Notamacropus eugenii: one gene and its partners. The protein of the gene in region 3 interacts with the protein of the main gene of each other region in a pairwise test. Links are inferred from orthologs where the notes say so. Each region holds a gene or a part of one and is shown on either strand. Other genes may lie near its edges.

The links.
Region 1: the proteins of TSR2 (region 3) and RPS26 interact in binary tests that used the Homo sapiens proteins (3 or more experiments, as listed by UniProt). The two-hybrid records come from large-scale screens. The link is inferred for Notamacropus eugenii from reciprocal best matches to the Homo sapiens genes TSR2 and RPS26.
Region 2: the proteins of TSR2 (region 3) and PIAS2 interact in binary tests that used the Homo sapiens proteins (3 or more experiments, as listed by UniProt). The two-hybrid records come from large-scale screens. The link is inferred for Notamacropus eugenii from reciprocal best matches to the Homo sapiens genes TSR2 and PIAS2.

Annotation. Positions count from the first base shown.
Region 1 is NC_092874.1:231,230,881-231,238,346, reverse strand, and holds RPS26 (small ribosomal subunit protein eS26), read right to left. Parts: upstream 2,564-7,466; 5' UTR 2,264-2,563; coding exon 2,261-2,263; intron 1,946-2,260; coding exon 1,768-1,945; intron 1,249-1,767; coding exon 1,118-1,248; intron 604-1,117; coding exon 568-603; 3' UTR 503-567; downstream 1-502. Other genes in the region: IKZF4 (zinc finger protein Eos), read right to left, coding at 6,680-7,440.
Region 2 is NC_092875.1:326,636,533-326,643,406, reverse strand, and holds the start of PIAS2 (E3 SUMO-protein ligase PIAS2), read right to left. Parts: upstream 3,003-6,874; 5' UTR 2,864-3,002; exon of another isoform or gene 2,647-2,863; 5' UTR 2,580-2,646; coding exon 2,499-2,579; intron 1-2,498. UniProt on the Homo sapiens protein: Functions as an E3-type small ubiquitin-like modifier (SUMO) ligase, stabilizing the interaction between UBE2I and the substrate, and as a SUMO-tethering factor.
Region 3 is NC_092879.1:102,611,596-102,618,887, reverse strand, and holds the start of TSR2 (pre-rRNA-processing protein TSR2 homolog), read right to left. Parts: upstream 3,001-7,292; 5' UTR 2,889-3,000; coding exon 2,808-2,888; intron 2,592-2,807; coding exon 2,501-2,591; intron 2,396-2,500; coding exon 2,304-2,395; intron 1,880-2,303; coding exon 1,691-1,879; intron 1-1,690. UniProt on the Homo sapiens protein: May be involved in 20S pre-rRNA processing.

The DNA.
Region 1 (7,466 bases), on a different chromosome or scaffold from region 3:
TCTACCCGGACCCTCCAGGAATCAATTTTCAAAGGTGTCCAATATCATTGGCTTCACAATCACCAGCCCTACCCCACCTTCCAGCACCTCCTCACCAACTGTCAAATTGCTCACCTAAGGGCTTCTGGTCAATCACAAGCCCAAGATAACTCAAGCACTAAAACCATCATTATTATTTGATACGTGTAAAAAAACTAAGAATGAGCTCAGTTTGAAAGACAAGTGAAGATATTACTTCAGGGTTAAATAGAGTCAGTACTTAACAAGTGTTAAATCCCCCTAGTGACACAAGCACAAACCTTAACCCAGCCTTTCAACATAAACTTTTCTTCAAGTTTGGCATTCACCTGTTATTGTGTCTACCTACATTCTTTAGAAAATTATCTGTTCTTAGAAAATTGGCAGGCTATGCCAAGGACACAGATTTTTATAACCCAGTTTCTTTTTAAAGTCAAAAGGTAGGCTTAAGTTCCCCTAACCCACAGATACACCAGGCACGATGTAAGATAGACCAACCATTTTATTTTCCTCTGACTGGTTCAGGAATGTTGATGGGCAGATAGTTCTTTACATGGGCTTTGGAGGGGGTCTGGGGGCGGCACCCTGCAAAAGTAAAAGAATGAGATAGTTTGTCAGCAACATGGGACCATTATCATTCCAAGCATTTCCCCACTATGGAAAGCAGAAATAGTTCAAACCTCTTTCTTAATCTAGAATCCTTTCACAAATATCAACAAGGAAAAAAATTTACTTAGGGTATGTACTGCTTGTATAATTATCAAAATATAAGGAAATAGCAAATTTTGAAGAGATGTCTATAATTAGAATTACAAATCCAACAATATTGGACGCCTTTGGAATTAATAAACAGTATCCAGCCTCTTTTCCAACTACTTACAGTATTTTCTGGAGACACAGTCTAGTTCCAACCATACCCGCTTTATCTTTAAAGATCCCTCAAAGTTTATTTTCATTTTTTCATTTCCCTATTTAGAATAATCTCTCCTGGAGCAGGGACCTTTTCTTATTAACTTTTCATCAATCCCAAGCAATCCCAGCAGCCTCTAATACCTCTCCCCTTCCTTCTTTTTGTACTCACTCCTGTTAAGAGACTTACCGCGGGTCTGAATCGGGGTGGGGGTGTCCGATCCTTTCGTGCCTCCCGAGAGCGATTCCTCACTACCTTGCTGTGGATCGCGCAGCTCACACAGTAATGTAGCTTCACATACAGCTTGGGCAACACATAGGCTGGTGAAGGAAAAAGCATTAGCACTGCCCTGAGGTGTCATGCCTACCCCAAAGTATACACCAAACGTATTTAGAACGCCAAGTTTTTAGGGAGCTTTTGCATTTTGTAAAATGACTTAAAGTAGAAATTGGCGCTATCAAGCAGATCTGGTCATTCCCCATCCCTCCAAAACGCCCACAGAACCCCCTTTGGGATTCTAGCCTCAAACTCCATTTCCATCATTACCTCCGTTTCCTTAGATTACCCTTCTGTAATGTATGTCACAAAAATGGACCTTACTTAAGGAAAATAAAAGTCTGAACCCTTAATAAGATTAGACTTATTAGATTCTAACAAGATTTAGAATAGAACAGATGCCACCCACACCCAAACTTTGTTTTTCAGTTAAGGAAACCAAAAGCACGTTACTCGACTAGGCATGACCCTTCTCCAGGTCGGGGCTCGTGCCCTAAGGACGCTGGGATGCTGAGGGTCGGGGGCTTAATCCCCCAAACGGCGCCTCGCCGGCCAGGACTTACAGTCGAAGACGCTGGCCTCGGAGATGTCCCTGACGGCCGCGGCTTCCACGATGTTGCGGATAACGAACTTCTTGATGGCCTTGTCCTTGGGCACGCAGCGGGCGCAGTTGGTGCAGCGGATGGGCTGCACGTGGCCGCGGCCCTTCTTGGCGCGTCCGTTGTTCCTTCTCTTCTTGGTCTGAGGCGATGGGGGCCAGAGTCAGGCGGGCCCGCCAGGGGCTCTCCCCGGGCCTTCAGCCTCTCCCCCTCCCGACCACCCGACCCCGCTCCAGTACCGGCGCCCAGCGTCTCTCCGCGCTCCGGGCCCACCCGTGTCCGGCCTCCCCATCCTCTCTCTCTGGCCCGCTTGCCCTGTGGCCGGCCTGAACCCGAGTCTCCACTGTCCTTCTTTATGGGCCTGCGGCCCTCCCCATCTCCCCAGCCCGCCTCCAACGGTCTCGGAACCGGCCTCCCCAAACGCCAGGGACCCCCGCACCGCACGCCGCTCCCTCACCATCTTGGAAGCCAAGAACCGGAAAAGGATCCGGTGGTTCCGCCGTCCGCCTTATATATCTGTATATCCTTGCGCCAACACATGCGCGTAAACAAAGTTTCTCCTCCGAGACTAACCAATCCCAGGATTCACTTAACAAAAGGCTTTACTCCTTAAAAAGCCCGTTTCCTCCGTGAAAAGAGGTTTCTGGAGTTGTTTTGGCCTCGGAGAAAGAGCCCCTTATGGACTATTTTATTTAGGCGTGGAAGAATACATGTAAAACTAATTTCACAAACTATACCCCGCGAGCCTCCGATTTCCCAGAAGCCATTGCTGGGAGTTGTAGCCAGTTAGCTGTAGTGTCTCAAGGAACGCCGGGAGTTGAAGTCCGCCGGGTAGAAGTCAACATGAAGGAGTGCCTTTTGGGAGTTGTAGTTTGAATGCGCCTATAAGCCTACGTGCGCGATGGGGATGTAGTTCAGAGGCGGCCCTCGGGACCCAAAGCCGGGGCCCGACTCCCAGAGGAAGCTTATGTTCCACGTCGCGCGCGTTTGGTCCCTCAATCCTTCCTCTTGGTCCGAGATTCCTTTTCTTTTAAGAATGGGGACAGAAAGGCAGGAGACGAAACAGCTCTTGGCACATCCCACTCCCACCACGGGAAGAAAGACTGCCCTACTCCATATTAACTTCAGGGGCTCCCCCTCGCCTCTCCCCACCAGGGAGGCATTCACAGCCTGCCTTTTTCTCCCTTTCGAGTTTTCTCCTTCGTCCTCCTCTCTCTCCCCTGCCTCTCTTTCTCCCAGATACCTCCGTTCACATCTCCTTTGGGCCCTCGGTTCTGTACAAAGTGTCAGCTTTCAGGCTGTGGGTTCTGGTGATGATCGATGGCAGCTGGCATACTACTGGGTGCTCAGTAGGCATTCAGTAAACATGTTTAATGAAGTCCCATGCCCTCCAGAGGTAACTGCCCTCGAGGAGTCGGGGCCAAAAAGGCCTGGAAGTCTGTTCGGATAGCAGCCCTAGGATGAAGAGTCTCTCCAACTCCTATCCCAGGATTTACAAACTCTTGATTGTGCCCTAGAGCCCATCCTGATATTTCAAGTCAACCTCTCTTGCTTTAATAGTTTCATTTGGGGATTTCTTGCTTAATCTCTCTCGAAACTCTTAATTTTACGTGGCCCAAACTACTAAGGACAAAGTGAATCAGAATAAAAACATAGTGATAAAGTGTTTTCAGTCCTTCCAACAGAACAGCAAAGTAGGGGAAGTTTGCAAAGACAGGAGGTGTTAAATTACTCATGTTTATTTATAACAGACCTTCAGCCAGTACAGTACAAAACTTACAGTAGTATATTCTTCGTTACACAAATATTTACTTACAATATATTACAGATACAAAACGCTTCGCAGTTAAGTCTCAAAAGCAAGTTTGACTCCCCTTAAGAAGGGAAAGAACTCTCAAAAAAAGAGGGGGCACCCAGAAGAGGAGAGAGGACAGGGATCAAGAAAGACACCAAGTCTAGGATACAAATGAAAACCCTGGGAAAGAGAAAGAGGACAGAGGTGGTATTGCACTTTTTTCTTTTTTTCTTTTTTCTTTTTTTTTTGTTCATCATAATGTCTGATTAAAAATATATATATATAATATGTACACAAGGAAAGAAGCTGCTAGGAGTGTTACAAAAATCCCTCCGCAGCCTGGAGACAGACATGGAAAAAAAACCCAAAGGTTTGGAAAAGTATCTGCTTAGAAAGGGTTTTGTTGTTGTTTTTGAATTTTGTTAGAAAAGGAAAACACCTCTTTCCTCCACATAGGTTTCAGGGTTTATTTTTTTTTCTTTTTTCTCCTTCTTTTCTTTTTTTTCTTTTTTTCTTTTTTTTAACAAAAGGAGCTGGGAGGAGGGGTGAGCACATTTGAGGTCCCAGAGCCAAAGGGGCTCTGGGGAAGTAGGGCTTTGTACTTAAGACCCTGGTTAAAGTGCAGTGATGATCTGGAAAGTGATGGTGTCCCCTTCTTCCCCTATCTAGAGTCTTATCTTGCTCCCAGCCCCCAAGTCTTTGCTCTCCTGGGCATAGCAATAGCCTCAGAACATGATTTTGTTTTGTTTTGAATTTTCGGGGGTGAGGGTTATCACAGGTTTGCCAAAGTAGAATGGGGAAAGAATGTGGGTAGGACCCTAAGGCTCTGATCTCCCTGGAGGGAATAGTCCCTATGGGGAGTCACAATCACAAACAGAATACTGTAGTAGTTCCCAGCTGAGAAAGGGACGGAGTAGGAAGGGGCTCAATGTCCAGATCTACTCTGCAAAAGTGGAGTAGGGAGGTAGGAGAACAGCATCTTGCTGGAAAGAACCTTCCTTTAGAGACCCTTCTATCCTTCCCCTCTACTTCTGTCTTTGTTCCCCTACCCCTCACCTCCCTGACCCTGGCAGCATCTGTTTATTGCTACATTGTCCAGGAGGAACAGACGGGTTCATCACAATGATGCTCCACTCTACACCTATCTGGGTCTCATCAAGGAAACCTCAGGGTAGTGGAGGAAGAGGAGAAAACTGTTTTAGGATGTCCTCCCCACAAGGGGGTGAGAGAGACTCCTCTCAGAGGCCCAAGTACCACAATCCTGGGTTCTGTCCCCCAGTCAACCCTGCAGCGTCCTTCCCTGGGGACCCCTAAGAGATCCCTGAGGAGGGAGAAAAGGGAGAAGAGGCAGAAGAGGCAATGAGGAAAGGAGTCGTAGGAAGAAAAGGAGGGTAGGAATTGGAGGAGAAAAGTGAGAGGAAAGAGAGAAGGACCAAGTGTTGCAACTTGTGAGGTGGTTGTGTTTTTGTTTTTTTGTTTTTTTTTTGTTTTTAACGTAGAAAAAAAAACAGCCTTTGGTTTGAACCTCAAGGAAGCAAGAGAGCCAGGTGGCTGTGGCCCTGGGCTGGGACTCCATGTGTATAGAGATGCTTCCCCTTCCCAGGGGCCTCTGCCTCCCTCCCAGACCAACAAGAACAGCCAAGCATGCTTCAGGAACCAGGAGGGAAATGAATTCCTCCTTCCCTGCTTCCTTGGCACCAGGCATGAAGGGGGCAGTGAAGGACGCCCTCAGTCCAGATGTGCTGGACCCATTCTCCCTCGGGCAGGGGTAGGGTAGGGGCAAGGGAACATGCCCACCCTGCAATCATTTTTGGTTATATTGAAATAATTAAAAGGAGGAAAGAAACATCCCTTTCTTATGACCACTGACCCTGAGGATGGAGCCTCAGAGCTCAAGAATGGGATGGTAATCCCTGCTGGGGAGGGTGAAGGCAGTAAGACTGAAGGGCTGGGTCTCCTCCTTGTCTTCAGGCAGCAATAGACTTAATTGGTTTTTCGTAAGGTGGGAAAGCCCCTGAGTGCCTAGAGAGGTTTCTGGGGTGAGGGAGTCAATTGAAGAAGCATTGAGAAGAGAAGAATCTTGTCTTCTCCCTGTCCTCTATTTCCAATTTGGTGAGGATCTTTTACTCCCAATGCTTCAGAGACAGAAAAAGGTGCAGACCCAGCTTTCACCCCTGAGGATATCAAATTGGGGTGCCCCAAGTGGAGGGAAGTCACCACTGAGCACACAGACTGGTTGGAGGACCAGAACAGCCCCTGTGAGGTTGAAGGGAGAGGATATCACATCCTAGTGGGAGACCCAGAGTGCAAATGCAGGCTTCAGAGTATTCATATTATTAGGGGAACGAGTGAGAGGATTCTGAGCCTCACAGTGCCCTGGAGTGAACTTTTTCAACCCTCTCCTCCCCCTAAATGGGGGATATCCTTCATTCATTCATTCATTCAAGAACAGTGCAAGCTGCCCAAGGTGAGAGGGCAGAGAGGTATGGAGTGCCAGGGGAGGGGTGTCCCAGAGAGGAGATATAATGCCACAGAGCAATGGTGGGGCCAGGAGGCACCGGCACCGGAACTGAGGAGTCTGGCAGTGTAAGTGAGGGGTGAGGATCAGGGACAGCAGTAGGCCAATGCCCCTCCAAACTCTAGAGAGCTTTCTACCCCACTGTCCTAGGGATGTGGAGGAAGCAGGAAATTAGGTTTGGACAAGAGAAGAGAATGGGAGTGCAGAATGGCAGCTATCTGACAGACTTTTCCTTAGAGAGCAAAAACCCTCCATCTAATAATCTTACTAAATAACTTAGTGTGCATTTGGGGAGGCATAGGGGTTGAAAAAAAAGGAAGAATCAAAACAAAAGACCTGTTTCATCACAACGCTTAAATAAATCAGCTTGGCAACTTGCAGAAAGGAGAGGGCAGAAATGGCGAGGAGGCAAGTGTGAAATCAGGCAGCCAGGGATTATGTCTGTGTGACAGGCTACAAAAGCAAAACTTAGTCAGGTAGAAAAGTGGACAGTGGGAGGCAGGGGTGAGCTGGGAGGGCTGGACACCTCGGAAGGGCTGGGTTGGAGGGGAGGCCAGAGATCACTAGCCTACTTTGTGTTCCCCTCGGACAATGTGGGAGGAGAACTCGTACCGGTCCTGGCTGTGGTAGCCACAAATGTTGCACTCGAAAGGGTCCCTGAAGCCGTGGCAGCCCATGTGGATGGTGAACATGACGTGGTCCAGGAAAAGGATGCGGCAGTGCTCACATTTGAAGGCCTTCACTGGCTCTCCGTCCTCACCTACCACCCGCAGCACTTCCTTGGCAGGGCCAGGAGCACTCCGGGGAAGCCCTTCCTGCATCTTGGGGTCCTCTTTGGCGTAGGCAGGGCTGGGCCGGCTCCCCACAACCAGAGCAGGGGCTGACTGATTTGAGGAACACTGAGGGGTGGTTACAACCCCCCCACCCCGCTCCTCATGATTGCTCTCTGTGTCTGTGGAGTCCTGGCAGCCATTGCTGGGGGAGACCCCAGGGTCAGCCAGGGGACCCCGAGCCCGATAGAGGAGAGGACCCCCATCAGCCAGGTCCTCATGCCCCTCGCTGGCTTCCCGAGTTCCAGATAGCTCCAGTCGGCCCGGGAGTGGCTGCATCTGGGTGTAGACGGAACTTATGACAGGTGTGAGCTCTGAGATGCAATTGGCAGGTGGAAGGCGAAGTGGCCGCAGATGCTCTGCGCCCACAAAGGCTAGTGAGCCAAATCCAGGCTCCAAACCGTGGTGTGCAACCAGCTCCACATCCTTCTCATAACCACCTGAATTCATGTCAAAGGGGAGATCGGAGAGGCTAAAGCGCATCTGCTTCTCACCTGCAGGGAAGGAGAAAACACTTGAG
Region 2 (6,874 bases), on a different chromosome or scaffold from region 3:
GGAAAGAGAATTAACAGCTTTGCACAAGATGTACAAAAAACTTGCCTAAGCCACAAAATCCTGAAAAGCAGAATGAATCAAACAGAAGATAATGACTTCATGAAACAAGAAACATTAAAACGATGTCAAAAATTGAAAATGTAGAAAAAATTTAAAGCATGGAACTGTCAAAACCAATTAAACTAGAAAACAAATTGAGAAAAAAACTTAAGAACCACTGGACTATGTAATTAGCTCTAAGAAAAGTTTAGATATCAAATTTTAAGAAAACTACCCACATCTCACTGACAAAGTAAAAATGGAAAAAAAAATCCATCCATCCTACTGAAAGAACAAAATAATAAATCCCAGGAGCATTATACCCAAAATCCAGAGCTTAAAGAAAAAATCAAAGGAAAAAAATCACTATTAGATAAAGAATAGTAGAATGCTATTTGAATTTCCTTTCCTTTATATTGTAAGTCTTTCTCCTGGAACCATGTAGCATTTCTTATCACTGGAATTGTTAAAATTTATCCATTATGTGTCTTAATTTACAATTTTTTTTCCCTGGAGGTGATGTGTGGATGAAGGGAGGAGGATTCTTTCCATTAACATTTGTCTTTCTGGGTAGTTTTTTGGTAGTATTTCTTACTACCAGTGTTCAGATTTTTCTACTTGTCATTCTTCTGGGAGACCCATAATCTTTAAAAAGTACAGGCATTTTATCTTTGAAAGCATTGTTTGCTTCTTTGGAGATCATGGGTTGTTGTTTTTTACTTTTCTTCTAGAGTGTCCTTTCTTCTGTGCATTTGCATTTCCAATCAGTTGTTCTCTCTCCTTTCTTTGGTTAGGTTTCCCATCCTGGGCTCGAGATTTTCTACTCTACCAAATACTTCTGCGTTATATGCCAAATTCTGCTTTTACATTTCTTTTTTCTCTTTTAAATTGTTCAGGAACATTCTACTGCAGTTTCATTCTCTCTTAGGAATTCACATAGTCCTCTGCCTCCTTAGGAAGTGATTCATTTTCCTCTTACAATATTATTTACAGTTATCTGAACTCTTTTACCTGATCTGAGGACCATATTCATCTCTGTTCATGTCTTCCCTCCTAGGTTTTCTGCTTATGTTCAAGATTTTTACTGAATTTTCTTCTTCCTGAGATCTCTGGTAATTTCAATTAGTATTTCCATGGAGAAATTTCCTCTCAGTACTTCGCAGATAATTTATATATTTTTCCAAATCTCAAGAAAAATCAATTGAAATTGTGATTGTTGGAAAGAAAATAAATCCTTAACTTGACTATTTCAACCCGTGATTCTGTGTACTACTGTTAACCTGACTAGATCTGAATAGCGTATTATTCAAATACTTCTCAATGTCTGGTAGAGCAATGAAGTGACTTAACCATTCTAGAAAGTAATTTGAAATTATGCTAAGTAACTAAAATGCTCATAATAGAGTACCACTCCCACACATACAATCCAAAAAGGTCAATGATCCTCTTCCAACCCCCCCACCATCAACACCACCAAAAGGCTCCAAATGCACCAAAATACTTAGAGTAGCACTTTTGGTAGAAGCGAAGAACTGGAAAGAAGTATATGCCTATTGACTGGTAAATGGCTATACAAATTTTGGTAGATTAATGTAATGAAATATTACTCAGCTATAGAAAACAATTAGCATAAAGAATACACAGAAGCATGGGAAGATTTACTGTAAATGATGCAAAGTGAAGTAGACGGATCCAATCAAAATACAGAATGAATGAGTGAAAAGCATGTGTTAATCTAAGAGAATGTCCATAAATTGAGAAATGGCTGAATAAATGTGGTATATGAATGTAATGTAATATTACTGTGATGTAAAACAATAACAAAAGACATGGAATCAGAAAAAAAATGGGAGGACCAATACAAAACAATGTAAAACTAAATGATAAGATACAGAGGAATACAATAGGAAAGTATATGTAGAATCTATACAGAATTGTATGCAGTCGTGGGGAGGGAGGGAGGTAGTGGGGGGTGGGTGGGGAGGGATAAAATCGCAATTGTATGGCAGTGATTGTTAAACATTAAAAAAATAAAAAAATTAATAAAAAAAAAAAAAAGATACAGAGGAATAAAGAAAAACTTTAAAAGACTTAAGAACTATTGTATGGGATCAGAGGACTGAAAGTTTACATCCCTTGGTGGTCACCTAGGCAGCGAGATGGCACAGTGGATAGAGCACAAGGCCTAGAATCAGAAGTTCAAACCTGTCCTCAAATTTTCTAGTAGCATGACCCTGGGCAAGTCACTCAACTTCTGTTTGTCTCGGTTTTCTCTTCCAGAAAATAAGAATTATAACAGCACTATTTCCCAAGGTAGTAGTGAGGATTAAATGAGATAATAATTGTAAAGTGTGTTAGCACAGGGTCTGCAACATAGTAAGCAGTAAGAAAATATTAGCTATCATTATTAATGCAGTGGACAACCACAACTCTTCCAGATTAATGAACACTCTACTCACCTTCTGAGGGAGAGATGATGAGTTTTTAGTGCAGAATGAGACATTTTCATACATAGGTAAATTTGTAGATTTATTTTGCATTGCTAGGCTTTTCTATTTCAAGAATTTTGTGTTGTTCTTCTTAAAGGGGAAAAAAACTATAGCAACACTACACATAGAAAAGAAAGAAAAGAGGGTCACTAAAATATTTTTTCACAGTACAAAAAACACAAGGAACTTCAAGAAACACAAATAATCAAGACAGTTTCAAAATATATTGAATCTATGATATACTTTTCAAAAAAGCAAACTCAAGGGGAGGAGCCAAGATGGTGGAGTAGAAAGATACACATATGCTAGCTCCGAACCCACAGCCCATAAAATACCTGTAAAGAAGAACTCTCAACAAATTCGAGAGCAGCAGAAGCCACAGAACAACGGAGTGGAGGAGATTTCTGTTCCAGAGAGACCTGAAAAACTGACGCCAAAGGTCTGTCGCACACCGGACCCGGAGCAGAGCCCAGCCCTGCCTTGGCTGCACAGCACCAGGAGAGCAGACCCAAGCACGCTTCAGGGACGGAATCTCCAGCAGCCTCGAAGGTCCCTCCACCCACAGGTGCCAAAGGTCAGTGAGAGGGTCCCCATAGGGAGTGGGGTGTCCCCATAACTCAGGCCCCCTCAGGAGGCAGCAGCAGAGGTGGCAGCAGACCAGGGCTTCCAAAGCAGGCAGGAGCTTGGATCCATTGTGGAAGGTCTCCCCGTAAACCCCCTGAGGGAACTGAGCCCCGTGTGGCAGCCCTGCCCCCACCAGAGCACCTGAACTTAATGTCACACAGAATAGCAGCCCCGCCTCCGCCAAAACACTTGGGGCTGGAAGGCAGCATTTGAATCTCAGCCCCTAAGGACTGGCTGGGCGGATCATGAGGCAAGGTGTGTGTGGAGAGGTCACTCAGAAGTCAAGTCGCTGGCTGGGAAAATGCCCAGAAAAGGGAAAAAAAATAAGACTATAGAAGGTTACTTTCTTGGTGAACAGATATTTCCTCCCTTCCCTTCTGATGAGGAAGAACAATGCTTACCATCAGGGAAAGACATAGAAATCAAGGCTTCTGTGTCCCAAACATCCAAAATAAATATTCAGTGGGCTCAGGCCATGGAAGAGCTCAAAAAGGATTTTGAAAATTAAGTTAGAGAGGTGGAGGAAAAACTGGGAAGAGAAATGAGAGAGATGAAAGAAAAGTATGAAAAGCAGGTCAACACCTTGCTAAAGGAGACCCAAAAAAATGCTGAAGAAAATAACACCTTGAAAAATAGGCCGACTCAATTGGCAAAAGAGGTTCAAAAAGCCAATGAGGAGAAGAATGCTTTCAAAAGCAGAATTAGCCAAATGGAAAAGGAGATTCAAAAGCTCACTGAAGAAAATAGTTCTTTCCAAATTAGAATGGAACAGATGGAGGCTAATGACTTTATGAGAAACCAAGAAATCACAAAACAAAACCAAAAGAATGAAAAAATGGAAGATAATGTGAAATATCTCATTGGAAAAACAATTGACCTGGAAAATAGATCCAGGAGAGACAATTTAAAAATTATGGGACTACTTGAAAGCCTTGATCAAAAAAAGAGCCTAGACATCATCTTTTACGAGATTATCAAGGAAAACTGCCCTGAGATTCTAGAACCAGGGGGCAAAATAAATATTGAAAGAATCCACCAAATCACCTCCTGAAAGAGATCCAAAAAGAGAAACTCCTAGGAACATTGTGGCCAAATTCCAGAGTTCCCTGGTCAAGGAGAAAATATTGCAAGCAGCTAGAAAGAAATAATTCAAGTATTGTGGAAATACAATCAGGATAACACGAGACCTAGCAGCTTCTACATGAAGAAATTGAAGGGCATGGAATAGGATATTCCAGAAGTCAAAGGAACTAGGATCAAAACCAAGAATCACCTACCCAGAAAAAGTGAGTATAATACTTCAGGGGAAAAAATGGTCTTTCAATGAAATTGGAGACTTTCAAGCATTCTTGATGAAAAGACCAGAGCTGAAAAGAAAATTTGACTTTCAAACACAAGAATGAAGAGAAGCATGAAAAGGTGAACAGCAAAGAGAAGTCATAAGGGACTTTACTGAAGTTGAACTGTTTACACTCCTACATGGAAAGACAATATTTGTAACTCTTGAAACTTTTCAGTATCTGGGTAGTTGCTGGGATTACATACACATACATACACACAGAGACAGAGAGCACAGAGTGAATGGAATAGGATGGGATTATATCTTAAAAAAATGAAATTAAGCAGTGAGAGAGAAATGTATTGGGAGGACAAAGGGAGAAATGGAATGGGGCAAATTATCTCTCATAAAAGAGGCAAGCAAAAGACTTTTTAGTGGAGGGAAAAAGAGGGGAGGTGAAAGAAAAACATGAAGTTTACTCTCATCACATTCCACTAAAGGAAGGCATAAAATGCACACTCATTTTGGTATGAAAACCTATCTTACAATACAGGAAAGTGAGGGAGAAGGGGATAAGCAGGGTAGGGGGGATGATGGAAGGGAGAGCATGGGGAGGAGGGAGAAATTTGAGGTCAACACTCTTGGGGAGGGACAGGATCAAAAGAAAGAACAGAAGCAAAGGGGGGCAGGATAGGATGGAGGGAAATATAGTCTTACACAACATGACTATTATGGAAGTCATTTGCAAAACTACACAGATACGGCCTATATCAAATTGCCTGCCTTCCAAAGGGAATGGGTGGGGAGGGAGGGATGAAGAGAAGTTGGAACTCAAAGTTTTAGGAACAACTGTTGAGTACTGTTCTTGCTACTAGGAAATAAGAAATACAGGTAATGGGGTATAGAAAGTTATCTGGCCCTACAGGACAAAAGAGAAGATGGGGACAAGGGAAGGGAGGGATGATAGAAGAGAGGGCAGATTGGTGATGGGGCAATTAGAATGCTCAGTGTTTTGGGGTGGGGGAGGGGACAAATGGGGAGAAAATTTGGAACCCACAATTTTGTGAAAATGAATGTTAAAAGTTAAATAAATAAATTTAAAATAAAAAACAAAAAAGCAAACTCACGTAGATTGAACTCACATTGTAAAGGAGACAATACACAAAGTTTCTGCAGCAAATGAGATGGAACACCAACAGGGTCCTTGGGGTGCAGTAGCAAAGCAGATGGCAATTATCTCTTCTTCAGAATCATTCCACTGATAAAACTGTATCAATTTCTGATTTGGAACTATTTGAAAAAGCCAAGGACTCTGGTGGCAAAAACTTTCCCTTCCAGTCTTCTTTACTATGGCTGCAGAAGAAGTTGCTAGGCCATATCTCCAGAGGTGAGTTCCTAAGGTGATGGCTGAAGGTTCTAGGCAGGAAGCACTATTTCTCCCATCTGGAGTTCTGAGTCCTCAACTGTCTCTAAGAGGAGATGGTGGTTACGCTGGGGGGGTAGTAGTGGACGAAGTTGGGGGGGTGGGGTTGTTGATCTGCTTGCCACATGCTGCCTCTCATGTCCTCCTCTGGGTGACTTGCTGCTTCAGCCAGGGTACTTTCCTGTCCTGAATCTAACAGTTGATTGATGGTGAAAGAAGGAAGCATGAACAGGATTAAGGGCACAGTGAGAGGGAGGAGTTTTAAGTAGGACCCTTCTGTTACCAGAGGAAAGGACAGAAGGATGGATAATGATGCTAAAAATTCTTGAGGCATGGAAAAGAAGTGAAGAACAAACATTATGCCTTTCAGTTTTAATGAAGTAAGAGGCTAAGCCATGTGGCACTGAGGTATGAAGGAGAAGGGGAGAAGAAAAGAAAGATGGAGTTAGGAACAGGTACTATCTAAGTATGGTGATATAGACTGTCAAACATCCAGCTGTCTGTAAATCACAGGTAGTGATTTAGTTTGTACAAACTAAATTTCTAGTAGGTGAATTCAGCTCAATTTGACTTTTGTCCATTAATGCTCAGTATCCAAGGAACAGAAGTGTAGAAGCCAGATTTTGGGATGGGGAGCACGGGGAGGTAGGGGTGGGGGGGAGGGGAATTATAGAAAGTAAAGGAGAATTTAGGAAGGTGGGGGGCCAAGAGTACACTGCAGTAACTTCAGTGCTCCACCACAACAAAGGCCCACGTTAAGGACCATAGTGCAAAGAAGCGCATGACATACTAGCATTCTGAAGAGTGTAACACTTACAGAAACGCCATTATCCTGATACATAAAAGCTATTTAAAGAGGCAGAAGGTGACAGCTATTGCCCACTCTCATCTGTGAAAAGTGTCTTCAGTCATTACAACCACCCAGGTCTCAGGAAGATGGAGTCACCACTAAAGAGGACACTACAACACATCACTGGATTATCTAGGAGCAGTGGAATAAAGAGGTCACATACAGCAGAC
Region 3 (7,292 bases):
AGAAGCCTTTATGAAAGGCCCATTGTGCTTGGAGCGCTGTGCTAAGCAATGTTTACAAACACCTTGTTTGATTCTCACAACAACCCAGTGAGGTAGCTGCTCTTTTTTACATCTGAGGACTCGGGAGCCAAGTGCATTCAGCGGCTAACAGTGACTTGGCCAGCTGGCGTCTAAGGCCGGATTGGCTCTCTCTGATCAGAGCTGTCTAATAACAAATGATGGCAACAAGGCAGGACTTAACCCAACTTAGATTTGGTTGGTGTCTTTAGCTAAGTAAAATGCCATTTGGGCCAGAAACTAAAATGGCTACCAGGGAGTGGGCACCCAAGACAAACAGAGCTCATGCTAACTGGGCTTCTCTACATAGCTGAGCCATGAAGAAGGGCCATGAACTGGTGCCTGCAAGCAGATCCGGAGCAATGGCTGAAGCACCAGGAGACCACTGAAAGGCCCACCTTTCAAAAGAGGCTAAAAAACAAATCAACAAGTTTGAGCTGAACTCCTGGCAAAATTGTAGAATGTCTTCAAAGGCTTATTAGGATTACTGACAATCTAGAGCAGGAAGTGCTGATCAGAAAGGGACAAGTTATGGAGGTGGAGCCTCAGTGGCAGAGCTCTACCCCTCCAATGCTTCTTCAAAGATCTAGAAAATGCCCCAATGAGTCTAGAGTGGGCAAACCAACAAAAAAGCCAAATCTCAGCAAGTCATTTTTCCAGTCCAGATCGGCTTATGGACACAGAATGTCTGTAGACGCTGAGGGCCTGGAATAGCAGGATGTTCAGTATGTCAAGAAAACAGTAGTGGGAACTTAGAGCACACTAAGATCAGTTCAGGGTTTCCTCCAGATGTTTGCAGAGTCCTACCTTAACATAAAGAACAAGTTATGACTAGCTACCCTTACTGCTTTTGTGCCAAAATTGTGAAATTGGTAGATCGCAGGAATCCTGCAGATTGAGTTTCCTGAGATTTTCTGAAGGCATTTGACCAAGTACTATTCTTGCAGAAGAGATGGAGAAATGCTCACTGGATAAAAGAACAGCTAGGTGAATTTAGAAATTGCCACCTATGTGAGCGACCCTGGGCAAGTCACAGCCTCTCCACCTCAGTTTCCTTACATGTAAAACTGGGACAGTAATAGCACCTGCCTCACTGTTTGGTTGCATGGCACAAGTTAAACCATTATATAAATGGAGGCTGTTGTTAGTTGCAGTCAATTTGGTGGGAGGAGATTCTTAAGGATATTCTGGGAATTTGCCCTTGCCCTGATGGTGGCTTAATGTGTTTCTCCACAATTTGTCTACATCAGAGGCATCCGGCTCACCCAGAAACAGATTAAAAAGTGATTAAGAAAACGTTTAACAAGTAAAAAACACAATGCAACACTGCTAATGTTAATTTGTAGTTTCCTCAACTTGTGGCAGGGAAACCTTGAACTGGTCTATGAACTGGAATGAACTTTAGAAGTCATCTAGTCTAATCATTTATTTTACAGAAAAGAAAACCACAGAAATGTATACTTACCCAAACTGCAAATGACCAGTTTGGGAGGGAGTCAGGATCAAAAAGATTTAGGGTTAGGGTTAGACTAGAATGATCGGCCCAAGTCAGTAAGAAATATTATGAATTTTATGATCAGGTTGAGGAGAGGTCTCCTCCTGCTTCTGGCCTAGGCAGTCCCCTCTTCCTCACCTCCATTTCCTCATCTCCCCCATCTATTTCTTCCTCCTGGTCTGAGTCATCATTGGTCTGGTTGACTGTCTGGGCCTCCACAGCTTTGACATCCTTCTGCTTCTGGCTCATCTGAGTGATGAACTCTCTCAGCAAGGGTTCTTCACCACTCTGGCAGTATCTGAACATTGTCTGGAGCTGCTGGCTTACCTGGTAGACACCCCCACCACAGGTATACTTATGAGTTTGAATTTATGGTCATGGGCCAGGGGAGAGATGAAAGGAAGAAAATATGACACTCCTAATCAGCCTGCAAAGTAACAAGGAGGCTGGCCAACAGGAGGGTAGCTGGCTTTGAACTCCAGCTCCAAATCCTGTTAGTTCCAAATGGGGGGGAGGGGGGATATGCTGGAAGGGGTGGTCTCAGCTTGAAGGCAGAGAAGCCTCAAAGGTTGAAGGGAGAGAATTTTACTTGGGAAGCCTTGTTAAGGATGGAAACATGGGGACACCCTGGAGGTAGGATGCTGTTCCAACAGAACTGGATGAGGGTCTAGAGTGGGGCCTTGGGAATGGAGAGGCGAGGGCTGGGGAGGGCAGATCTAGAATCTGGTGCCTTGGGGCACGGGGGGCTGACCTGGGGCAGGCTTCCATCTTCTACCAGAGTATCAAATTCGGTGCTCATGATGTCAGCCAGGAAGTCCTCCACCTCATCCCGCTCTAAATCAGCTGGGAAGGGAGCGATCCCAGCCAAGAGCACTAATTAGAGCCTGCCCAGACGCTCTGGGATCCCGTCCTTGTCCCGCTGGTCCCCCCTCCCGGTACTCCACTCACCGTTCTGGAAGAAATAGTCCCGGACGGCTCCCCCGAGCCACAGGGCCTTCTCACGGCTGTGGGCTCCCCCGAAGCTGTTTTCCACGGCGATCTGGGACAGGAGACATACTGGCAGCGCCCTGCGGGGAACGACGCGGGGGGGGGGGGGGGGCCTCTCTTCCCCCTTCCTCCAGGCGCTCCCTTCCTCCCCTCCCCTCACTTCCGGGGTCCGCTCGCTCCCTCCTTCCTCCCGCCTCGGAGCCGCCTCAGTTTCTTGGTACGGGGAAGGAGCATGCTCGAAGCTCCCTCCCCTGTCCGGCACCCTTACCTGCAGCGCCGGCCAGGCCTCCAGCACTGCCTGAACACCGGCGCCAAACAAGGCCCACGCCTGGTCCGCAGACGCCGCCATGTCCGACCCCACCGCCGCCAGTCCCAAGAGATTGGCCGCTCGGCACAGCACGCAGGGCGGGTCGATGGCGGACGGCCAATCCCGTCCCGCCTTCGCGCCCCGGCGTATCCTCCGCCCTCCTGCGCCTGCGTGCGCATGCGGAATGGGTCCTTCGCCGCCAGTCTTCTCTGAGATTTAGGGCTGCGGCTCCGCCCCCACTCCACCTGCGCTGAGCCGAGCTGAGCCGGGCGGAGCTGGGCCGAACTGATGAGGCCCGGTCCCAGCCTCCCAGTCCATTTTTCTGAGCGTCTTTCTCGCGTTCTCTCGCTTGCATGCGGTCAGTGAGTCAGTAAAAGCATTGATTAAGCGCCTACTGCGTGCCGGGGTAAACTCTGGGGATAGAAGGAGGGGGCCAAAGCTAGCCCCTGCCCTCAAGGAGTTCCCAGTCTAACGAGGGAGAACGGTCCTAGAGTGTCGGCCCGAGAATCTCTAGGTGGGAGAAAGGGGAGCAAATGAGCAGGGGTGAGGAGTCAGGAAGGGCTCCCCGCAAAGCGTTCTGGGAACAGGCCAAAGAGTGTGAAGCTGCTCTGGTTGCTCTGCTTCGGGCTTTCCTGGCGGCGGCTCATCCCCCACCTGCCCCTTCATCTGCCTTTTTCCCTCCGGGGCCCTTTCTCTGTGGATCTCTCTCTCTTTCTTTGTCTCTCTGTCCCCATGCGTCTCTGCTTTTCATTTTCCGGCTCTTGAATCTCTATGGCCGTCTCTTCTTTTCCCGGTCTAACGATTGTCCTTCTGCCCTTTATGGCCGCCTACAATAGATGGCTCTGTGTTATCTCTAATTTACTCCTTACCATCTGGCTTCCAACCTTATCATTCTCTCCAGAGTTAGGAGGGATCTCTCAGTTGCCAAGTCCAGTGGCATTTTCTCAATTCTCAGCAGCCCTGGCCACTGTTATTGGGCACTCTCCTCCTTGATCCTTTCTAGGTTTATGGAACTCCCCTCTCTGTCTCCATTCTCCTCCTCCCTCTCTGACCGCCCCTTCTCTGTCTCCTTTGCTGGATCCTCCTCCTCCTCCTCTAGATCACACCCTCTAACCACAGGCTCTGTCCTGGGCCCCCTTCACTTCCCCTTCCATCCTACATCTCTATGCTGATGGTCAATTCTGCCCCACCCTCTCTGCTGACCTCCAAACTCCTATCTCCAGCTGCCTTTCAGACATCTTGAACTGGATGTCCAGTGGGCACCTTGAACACATGCAAAATGGAACTCTTTTTCTTTTCCCTAATCTGCCCATCCCACCTTCTTTATTACTGTGGAGGGTAATGCCATCCCCTCAGTCTTCTGGGCTGACAACCCAGGTCTCATCCTGAACTCCATTCTCCCTCACCTATCCAAGCTGTTACCAAGGCCTGTCAGTTTTACCTTTGATGTCTGATATCTGCCCCCCTTCTCAGTCTGACCCTGCCCCCACGTTGGTCTTGCCCAGCATCACCTCACACCTTGAACTATTGTAATAGCTGATAGAGTCTGCCTGCCTCAGGTCTTTCCTAAAGTAAGGTCCCCTTTCCCCACATAGTAAACTTCAGTGACTCCCTAGAGCCTCTGGGATCAAATACAAAATGCTCTGTTTGGTTTTCCAGCCTTTCATGCCCTGCCCCCTCCTCCCCTTTTTTCACTCAGCTCCCTGACAGACTGTCTTCCATTCAGTGTTATTGGCCTGACTGTTCCTCAAAGTCCACCTTCCATCTTTCAGCTCTGGACAGTTTCTCTAGTTGTCCCCATGCCTCAAATACTCTTGCTCCTTGTCTGTCTTCCCTGGTCTCCTGGAATCCCAGCTAAATCTCATTTTCTTCTGGAAGCCTCTCCTACCCCCTTCAAATTCGAGGGTCTTGTCTGTCTCAATCATTTTCAATTCATCGTGCAGCTTGTTTGTGTGTGTTTGTTTGCTTGTGGTCTCCCCCAGAGTCCAGGTTTTGCCTCTTTGGGTATCCCCAGTGCTAGCACAGTGCCTGGCCAATAGTAGGTGCTTCATAAATATTCACTGACCAACGGACTGATTTTGTCTTTCTGTGCCACCGTCCCCAGCTCATTTCTCTTTCCATCCCTAGCATGGTCTTTGTATTTGTCCCTTTCCATCATTCCCTCAAGTTGTGTTTCTGTCTGTTCTTTTAAATTAGGACCTGTTCTAACCACCACCACCCCACCCCACCCCAGTAATTGCTTTCTGGCCTATCTCGATGGCAGACTCCCCCCAATAAAAAGTACTTAACAGAAAGCCCGGAAGGTCAACCTGACCATTGCATCTTCTCCATGCTTTACAGTCTAGAGACTGACTCCGGGAAATTCAAACAGCTAACTTGGCAATTTAGGCACAACAACAACTAAGTCTGGCACTTTTGGCCTTTGTTTTGCCATGAGGCCTGGCTCAAATGAACTGATGGTCGAGCTGTCTTGAGATGAGAGCACCCCTTGGACACCTGCACCCACACCAAACTGAGTCTACATCGTAGTCAGGTGTAATGGCTTCCTGGGAATTGTTTGATCTTACATTCCACAGCTAGCTGACAAGCCCACCCCCATCTCCAAAACAAGGATGTCAAATCCCAAAGCTCAGGCGGGGAGACAATGGTAATGCCTACCTTGGCTACTAATCCCTGCCTTGGAGTCCCTACCCCTGAGATGTGAGCCAAAACTGACCAGTCCCACCTGGCAGAGAGGGTGGGCACAATGAGGGACCATGTAGGGAGCACACCACTCTCCCACTAGAAATAGATTTAGGCATTGCTCAAATCTCAGGTGGTTTTAGATGCCCTCAAAGAATTCCCCAAGATTTATTATCTCATTTGAATAACATGTATTGTTTCTGGGCTCCTGATCTTTTTGTCTCTCTGAGATGACCACAGATTTACTCTCAAATCACTCATGTGGAGAATTGTTTGCATCCAAAATGGACAGGAGACCTTGATGGATTCTTCTATTTATTTGGCCTCACTGAGAGACTCTCTCTTGTATCGTGCAGCAGTCCTGGTCCAACCCTATCTGGGAATTTGTCTGTCTCTCAGTTTTTTTTCCCTCTCACACTCCATGTCTGTCTGTCTCAACCTGTTTGTCTCTCTCTCTCTTGTCTCTGGCCTGTGTGTATCCTAATCTGTCCCTCCTTCCCTCTGTTCACCTCAGTGTACCTTTCTGTCCATTTTTGTGTCTGCCTCTGATACTCTTTCCTTCTCCCTCTCCCCCCCAAGCCTGGGTCTATTTTATGTGTATGTCTCTGTGTTCCTGTAGGTGGCTGGGTATGGGTCTCTCTACTCCTCTCTTTCCTTTTTTTGGTCTCCTCTCTCTCCAATGTCATTTAATCAACATCCCCCACACACACACACTATATATCAGGAGAAGGGAAGTGGAAAAAGTGTTTGTATAGGCCTACTATGGCTGAAGCACTGCTCAGTGCTTTGTACAAATAGGACCTCCTTTCACAGAAATGTGTACTGGGCATAGAAATACATCCACACAAAGTCCCTGGGCCCCATTGGCATTGCTCCACTTCAAGCCTCAGTTTCTTCTTTGGAAGTAGCCCCTTTTGACTTTCTGCAATCCTAAGCAGCTTCCCCTGGAAAATGAGGGGGTCTGACTAGGGGGCTGCAGTCACTTTCAGCTCTGGAACTTTCCCCACTCTTTATTTTCCTCTGGAATGTGGCCCTGAGCTATTCTCTACCCATCTGGGCCTTAGTTTTCCTTCTTTCTGTCAAATGCAGGGTCAATTTCATGATCTTCAAGATGCCTTCTAACTTGAAAGCCTGGTGAATTTGCTTTGTTCCAGGAAAGGTAAAGGCATCCCATCATCTGGAGTGTCATAGGGTCAGATCTAAGGGCAGTTACTCTAGCTGCAGCTTGGAGGATGACTGGAGGCAGAGAGACTAGTGAGGTGAGGAAGGAGAGAACCAGGGTGGGGGTATAAGTAGAGAGAAGGGTTTGGATGGGAGACATGCCATAGGCTAGAAATGATTGAATATGTGAACTGAATGAGGAGTCAAGGATGATGCATGCCCCGGGGACTAGAAGAAGGTACCTTCCACAGAAACTGGGAAATTGGGTAGAGATAAAAGTTTCTGAGGAAAGACCAGTTCAGTTTTAGACATGTTGAATTAGAGATGTCCCTGGGACATCCAGTCTGAAATATCCAATAGGTAATGGGGATCGAGTGAGGGAAGATCATGGCCAGCAATGGGCCAGATGTTTAGAAATAGATGTTTAGAACATCTAAACATCTAACAGATGTTTAGAAATAGAAGTATGTTCTCAACACTGCTATTAAATCACTCTACTCTCCTATGGTGCCCTCCCCCCCTTCAGGGTTCCAGAGAAGCTCTAGAAAAAGTGTGAGCCTCCCAGGACTGTCCAAGGACCCTCTTTTAGAATTGGAGATCAGA